2 linked regions of the Coturnix japonica genome follow. The protein of the gene in region 1 binds, or shares a complex with, the protein of each later gene. Links are inferred from orthologs where the notes say so. Each region holds a gene or a part of one and is shown on either strand. Other genes may lie near its edges.

What was found.
Region 2: the proteins of MYO5A (region 1) and MLPH are in contact, whole or in part, in a crystal structure (PDB 4KP3), measured with the Mus musculus proteins. The link is inferred for Coturnix japonica from reciprocal best matches to the Homo sapiens genes MYO5A and MLPH. Residues at the interface, in NP_034994.2 of Mus musculus: Asp1524, Val1527, Arg1528, Leu1531, Thr1532, Ile1535, Asn1536, Lys1539, Ser1570, Gly1571, Leu1588, Thr1589, Asn1590, Phe1591, Asp1592, Leu1593, Ala1594, Glu1595, Tyr1596, Val1599; in NP_443748.2 of Mus musculus: Lys184, Lys186, Arg187, Leu188, Leu189, Ser190, Phe191, Arg192, Asp195, Phe196, Glu197.

What each region holds. Positions count from the first base shown.
Region 1 is NC_029525.1:7,693,807-7,697,622, forward strand, and holds part of MYO5A (unconventional myosin-Va), read left to right. Parts: intron 1-2,460; coding exon 2,461-2,700; intron 2,701-3,179; coding exon 3,180-3,428; intron 3,429-3,816. UniProt on the Homo sapiens protein: Processive actin-based motor that can move in large steps approximating the 36-nm pseudo-repeat of the actin filament. Can hydrolyze ATP in the presence of actin, which is essential for its function as a motor protein. Involved in melanosome transport.
Region 2 is NC_029522.1:8,696,642-8,700,457, forward strand, and holds part of MLPH (melanophilin), read right to left. Parts: intron 2,421-3,816; coding exon 2,238-2,420; intron 1,142-2,237; coding exon 791-1,141; intron 638-790; coding exon 575-637; intron 433-574; coding exon 375-432; intron 1-374. UniProt on the Homo sapiens protein: Rab effector protein involved in melanosome transport. Serves as link between melanosome-bound RAB27A and the motor protein MYO5A.

The sequences.
Region 1 (3,816 bases):
GTGGATAGAGGCTTTCCTTAGGAAAATGGTTCATCTGCAGGAGATGGTTCTGTAGACCTGAAGTTAGTCATGTGAGTGGTATATACCACATCTGTCCTGTAGCGTGATTGTTAAACAGATCCATTTTATTCCCTGGTAATAGAAATGGGTCGGTGAGCAGGGTGATGGTGGGTACACAGTTGGACTGGATGATCTTGGTGGTCTTTTCCAACTTTAATGAATCTATGAATCTGTTGTGTGTTTTTGGAGGGACCAACATACGAGGTGGTTGTACTTGCCTGTCAGGGAATTTCCCCTTTGAGAAGTAAATTGTTCACCACAGTAAAACACAAAGTTCTCAAGATGGACGGAAGGTGCATTAACTGCATCTGAGACATGGCATGGAGGTATCACCCACATAGAGGTGTTATTTTATAAAAGCTGAGATACAGGGATGTCCAGACTCAGAAGCACAAGCTCTGCTTGCTGTGCATGCAGAGGCAAACACATCTGCTCTGAAGTTCATGATGATTGCAGGTGAGTGAAACTGAAAGGTCGTCCTGTGACTGCACCCTCGGCTGAGCTGTGACTGTACATAATATATGGTGCCCGTGTTGGTAGTTAGGATTGTGAAAGGTATCTGTTGTTGTTTTTATAACAGAGGACATGGGTTGGCAGTCACATGACTTACAGAAGGAATTTGAAATTGTTGAATCATCTATTTCACACGTCCTGGAGAAAGCTTCTGCCTGAGCCTTGTTTGCTTGAGAAAGCCTTGTTTGCTTCTGCAACGTGCTTGTTTGCTTAAGAAGGAATTTAATTCCTCCAGAACTTTGATATTAGGTTATCAGGCAATATTTTCCAGGAGAAAATACCTGATACATTAAGTGACTTTTCTGATACTCTCACTGGATTGCATGGGTGTGAGAATTCACTGGCAGATGAGGACCATCCCTGCACAATGGAGGTACTCTATGGGACTTACTGCTTCCACGCTCCAGGTGATAACGCTGTTGCAAGCTAGTTGTATCTTAGTTGTTAGGGCACCTGTGGGTAACATGGAAGACTATTTCAGGGTGCAGGTATGGATGAGGGAGGAGTGCTGACTTTGTTGCTTGCAATCAGAAGGACTTTGGCTTTTGACCTTGCTGTAGTTTCTCGGGATCTGTTTCCTTACCAAGTTGTACATTTTAATTGAGCACTGGTGCTTCAAGTCCTCGTTTTTTTTCTTTAAAAATGAATGCTAAGGCAGAAAGCTTCTATTTCTTAGAATATTGCCACTTTGCCAGTGAACCTTTCAAAGTCATTGATCTGAAAAGGTAATGTTTTCAACACATTTCAGTACATTTGATAAGAAGTATAAAATGCAATAAAATTTGATTACAGTACTGGTTTGCTTTATCAGCTTTATGGTAAATCTGTGTAAGAATGTGAAATTGTGTTTGATCTTTAAGCTACCAAATCCAGTAAGTAACACAAGATCTTAAATAGTTTTGCTTTTTAGAGTAAAGTTTGTAATTTGCAGAAGCTTTATTAAGCGAACTCTGAAGTTCTCAGAGTTCTGGGAGCCTTGTGGGTTTACATGTGCTCTCCCAGCTTAGCTGTGGTCTATGGGAATTCAGGTGCTCCAGACCTGGGGGATCACTGTTTGAATCCATGGGTGCAGGATCCAGAAACACATGGTGGAATCTTCCTAGTGGAAATCTCTGTCTGATTGCTTGATTATTTTTCATTAAAGTGACTTTTTAAAAATAGTTACATCTAATTATTTTTACATTGCAAATCTATAACTGAAACTTCTGCCATCAAATGAATTGGAATTATCACAGTCTAAAATTTCTGATTAAAATAAATAGAGAGAAAAACATTTCTCCGGCTGACAAGTATAAGGAGTGGCAAGCAAAAAGAAAGAAAAGGAAAGAACACGTACTAGAGCTTGTAATTCAGTCATCTTAGGGTATGGCTGTTCTTACTAACAGCTGCTATAATGTGCTCTGGGTCATAATGTGTAATAGCTGCACTATGTGTCAAGTGCAGTGATTTTGTGCTGCATATTGATGAATTCTGTGCTGCATATATCAATGCTTTTAAGAAGTTTAAAAGTAAAAGAAACAATAAAAAAACCCATTCTAGTCATCTGGATTGTATTTGTAATCTTGCCAAAAGGTACCATGTATTTTTATAATTAGCTTCATCTGACATCAGCAGAAAGGAATGCTTGGTTCTTTAACATGTCTCTTGTTCTTTCTTTCCATGTCCTTAATTCTGTTTCCTTTTCTTTTTCTTTTCTCTTGTCTTCCTTATTCATGTCTTCTTTTCTATTTTCATTCCAGATTCATTTCTTTTACACTTCCCCAGTAGTTTCTCTTTTCAGACTAAGGCGTCTCTATTTACATCATCTTTATACCTTTCATTATGGAGTCAGTTTAACTTAGCAGGTGTAACTCTAATAACACTTGTGGTGTTTTTTCTTAACTGTAGATGCTTCGAGAGCACAAGTCTATTATTATTCAGAAGCATGTAAGAGGCTGGCTGGCTCGAGTGCACTACCATAGGACCTTGAAGGCAATTATTTACTTGCAATGCTGTTACCGGCGCATGATGGCCAAGAGAGAACTGAAGAAACTGAAGATAGAAGCTCGGTCTGTGGAACGCTACAAGAAGCTTCACATTGGCTTGGAGAACAAGATCATGCAGCTGCAGCGGAAAATTGATGAACAGGTAAAGCTCTGGGAAAACACTTGGCAGTCTTGTATTTTCTTCTGTAGCACTGTGGGCATTCATTGCAAATCTCTTCTCTGCTGAAGAATGCTGATAGAAGAGAAAGGCAGACAGCATTTGAACTGAAATTATAAAACATCTGTTTGTATCTCTCAGAAGCACTGAGAGAAAGCATCTGCTCCTTGAATTTCAGTCTTTCATTGGAAGCACCCCAGTTGCTCAGTTGAAGGGGAACTTGAGATGATTGAGTTTGGTGTTAGTGGGTTCTTTGTTTGATTTTAGTTCAGTACATTATTATGTAAACTTAAAGACTGGACTGTTCTGTCACCCCTTTAAGCAATTCTCCTGCAGAAACAGAATGAAAAGGAGAGAATTGCTCTCTTGTTCCCCTGTCTTGGTATATTCTGTAAGCAATCAGAAAGCTTCCTTAAACCAGAACTTCTCCAACTGCCTCGATGTCTCCTTTGTGTTTTGCAAAGAATAAAGAGTACAAATCTCTGCTGGAGAAGATGAATAACCTGGAGAACACATACAGTACAGAGACAGAGAAGCTTCGAAGTGATGTGGAGAGGCTTCGGATGAGTGAGGAGGAGGCTAAGAATGCAACCAACCGTGTTCTCAGCCTTCAGGAGGAGATTGCCAAGCTCCGGAAGGAGCTGCAGCAGACTCAGACTGAGAAGAAGACAATTGAAGAATGGGCAGACAAATACAAACATGAAACTGAGCAGGTAAGGATGTAGTCCCAGGTACATGAGCAGATGTACAGATGCCTGGTGTCCACTCACGTTTTGGCCAGACTTAACTGCTTTGGTTGTATGTCTGATACTTGAACAGTATTTTTAATTAGTGTTACAGCTGTACAACAGTAAATAGGCCTGATATCTAAATAATTGCACCTGTGCTTGAAGAATATGGTAAATTTATATACTGTGTATAAATACATATACTCAGTCTAGTCAGATTTTTATATTTAAAGAATTTGCCAATCTGAGTACCTAAGCTTACTCAATTAGTGCAAGATAGCACATCGTACCAAGAAATCATTTTACCTACCTAGAGAGTACACTTGTATAGATGTCTGAAATCAGTTCCATACACCATATTCAAAGAGTACCT
Region 2 (3,816 bases), on another chromosome or scaffold:
TAGCAGAGGTAGGCAGATAGCAGGGCAAAGGATACGCTCCCCAGGGCAACCAAGTGAGAAGAAATGGCTAAAGCAAGAAGCAATGGTCTTAGGTAGGGTGTTGAGGGCTAGTTTTGAAGGCAGAGCCACTAAGGTGATAGAAGCCCACAATGCAGAGCAATGGCCCATGTGACAGGCAGTTGTCTACCACCAAGACCTGTATGGGAGCCACCTCATCCTGTCCCCAGCGCTGTCCCTGATCCTCCACTACAGATAAGGCTCTACTGGCAGGACACAAGCACAGGGAACAGCATTCCAAAAAGGGAGAAAATAGGGGGTGCTCACAAGCACCTCATGAGCCAAGGTCTTCCCACAGACAGAGCCATGGCTCTTACCAGTGATTTCAAAGGGACAGTTGAACCTCCTCCTGAGGACCTGTGGCCCAGACATTGCCTGCAAGAGAGGGAAAGCAGTGAATGAGTGGGAGGACACAGGTACCTCCAAAGGATGCACTGCTGCTTGTGCTAAGCATTCAAACCTGTGTCCTGGAACATGGAACTAAGGCTTATCAAACACATGCTTAACATGTACCCACCTTAACATCATCCGAAGACTCCCCGGGGCTGCTGGTGGGATTGGGGGAGCAGATGTGGAAGGCCTGCAGACAGAAAAGGGGCACAGGTCTCTGGGCTTGCTCCACCCCAAAGCAGCCTCCCATGTCATCCTCAGTGAGGTTCAGAGCAGCCAGGAAGCAGCTGGGAGCAGGCAGGCAGCCCTTCCTGTGCTCACAACCCCCATCCTCCCCACTCACCTGCCCATTTGATTTCTTCCTTGTCTTTTCCACCGGCTTCACTGTCAGCCCCGCAGCGGACAGAGCTGCGATCCGAGATTCAATATCTGATACCTTTAGAGGGAGGAAAACAGAACAGGTGGGCAGCATGTGGAAGACTCCCAACAAGCTGTGTTCACTGGGATGGAGGTGAAGCAGCTCCTGGTCAGCCCTTACCTCACGCTCTGCCTGCTGTACCTGTGCAGCCGCCAAGGCCACCTTGTCCTCCAGCTCCGACAGCTCTGAGTCGGTCCTGCCACAGTGCTGAGCCCCCTCCTCAAGCTCTGTCAAGGTTGTCTCCAGCTGGTAGGCCTTCCCAGCGGCCAGGTAGACCTGATATAAAAAGGGGAAAAAAAAATAATAGATCACACCATTAAGCTTTCTATTCACTCCTCTCCTGCTGCTATGCTGCTATGACTGCCTTCCCACCCTGCAGCCCTGGCAGCACTGCTCAGTTCTGGCAGGGCTCTTTGTCTCTGCGTGCCCCATTGGCAGCAAGCTAGGGAGGAGATGTGTTACTCAAGTGCAATTACTGCCCCTTGGCTACTACATGAATGCAAGTCCAAGCAAAGTAATTTAGAAGAAGTTAATTTGTCTATACAATAACATCAGAAGGCCACAGTTGTGCTGAACGATCCCAAAATCTCAGTACTGCTAATGCACAGCCAGCTCCTCCAGCCCTATCTGCTGGCATGCTGAGCACCCACATCTCATGTCCTACAGGTTCCCACTGACCCCAAAGAAAACCCTGAGGCAGCATATCCATAACCAAGCACTGACATTCAGTCTGTGAGTCACAAAGGCACTGTTTGCTGCCAGGCCATTGAGCATCATTAAACATCCTCAAGGCCAGTGGCATTCCTTAGAGTGCAAGCAGTGGGACCTGACTCACCAGGGACCCGAGGGAACAGTGGGATGAGCACACAGTTCCAGTGAGCAGAAGAAGCAGGAAGCCCAATGTTGCTCTTGCACCAGTCAGACCCCAAAGGAAGGAGCACGGCTCACTTGGACAGCAGGAGGGGCTCAGAATCATGGGATGGGATAGTGGGGATGACAGAAGGCATGGCTATTGGAGCACAGGTGTGATGCCCAAGCTCAGATCTCCAGCTACAGCACTTAGCTAGGAGGACCTCTGTGTCTATGTACTACAAATAACCTACTGTTTGAGGCATATAAGAAAATCAGAGTGTGTCAACCCTCAGTTAGTCCTTTAGAGGCAAACAGAAACATTTCCTTCCCCTAAATTCTACCCTGAGCTTCACAACCCACAGCTTCGTAGCTGGGAGGGTCGCAGCATCCTTATACGTATATGCCTGTAGTGCTCATCCTTTGACCTCCAGCACACCTACTAACAAGCGGCTTAGAGGGGGTCCACTGAAATCCCACCCTCAAATCCCTCCCTGCTCACAGAGACTCTGGGGAACCTTACATTTTCCTCAAGCTCACGGTATGCTTCAGCTGCCTCTTTCCCATCCTCCATGCTGAGATGCAAGGCACCGCCACCACTGCCCCAGCTCTGTCCTTGCAGTGACTCAGAGACCGCTTTCTCCGTGGCATTTATGGCTCTCAGTGCTTTGGCCGTGATCTCACTCAAAGCCTGAGCTGAGGACCTCTGTGAATGCCCAGTCAAAGTAAAGGAAGGGGTGAGGGAAAAAAAAAGAGTATTTAATTATTTCATAATGTGCACTTCTAGTGTACAACTCAGTACAAGTAGGCATGGAGGGGCATCAGGCCTAGGGGAGCCAGTGGAAGATGGAGAACGGATAACAGAAGGGCTTAAGGGCTCTCCAGTGGGGCTGAAAACGTGGCTGCCCAGGGAGTGGTGGGGTCATCATCCCTGGGGAATTCCTGATCCATGGAGATGTGGCAGGGAAGGACGTGGTCAGTGGGCATGGTGGGGCAGGCTGGGTTTGTTGATCTTAGAGATCTTTTCCAACCTGAATATGGGATGATGCTCTTACCCCTTTCTCCTGCCAGGTCAGCCAGTTGTGTCACCACACTGGAAAAGCGTGTAAGAAGTGTAACATTGCCCTGCTGCCAGAGCCTGGGGCTGATATCCTTCCCCTCCCACCTCAAGGAGCGCAAACAGCTGTGATGCCTCTAAGTGCTGCCCGCGTTAGCCTTTTTGCTAGGTAAGTCATAAAGTACTCATAAAAATAGACCCAAGAAACTCATCATCCCTCTCTCAGCTGATAATTCCCTAGAAACCAAGGAGATTGGGGTGATATGTGCACTGGAGACAAAGACAAACAGTTTTGTTTACCACTGCACGTATTTCCAGGCAAGCCACTCTGCGAAGAACCAGCTAACTCGGCCCAGCTGACACTCTTATCACTTTATGGTGCCCTCATGGTACAGCAGAGTTTCATGTTTCACACCACAAACGTCGCTTTTATCTGAGCGCTCCCCCATTAGAAGCCTTTTTTCCCAACTGGATGGGACTTGCATAGAAACCAACTGATGATTACGTGAATTCCAGACCCAGGTCTGGATTTGGTCATGGAGATGGTGCTGTGTTTCATCAGGCTTTGTGCTCCCCACTTCTGGATGTGCTCTGAACTCAGTTCTGATAACTGCAGATCACTTATGTCAGAATGTCACAGGGTTTTCTCATGAGATGCCCTCAGAAATCTCTCAAACAAACCGCAAGGCAGGCTGCTGTAAAAATAGGCACTGACACAGCCTTTAACCCAAACTCCTCCACCTGCACGTCACTGCAGTCATCTCTCACTCACTATTACGGTATTTGTTGCCTTTGCAACAGTGTCATTGCAATGAGTGTCACTGCAATGCAGAAGGCTGGACGTCTCTCTGCTTGGGAGCTAAGCTGCATAATCCCCGTGTCATCTGTCTCACCTTGACCTCCCCGTTTCATGCTTATGGCCCTGCTGGGGAATATGTGGGGAAAAGTGGGACCTGCTGGCAGGTCTGGAAGAGACATTTCAAGACACAGCAGGTGGCTGCCAATGCCAAATCATCACTGAGCTCTTCTAGCCCCAACACAACCC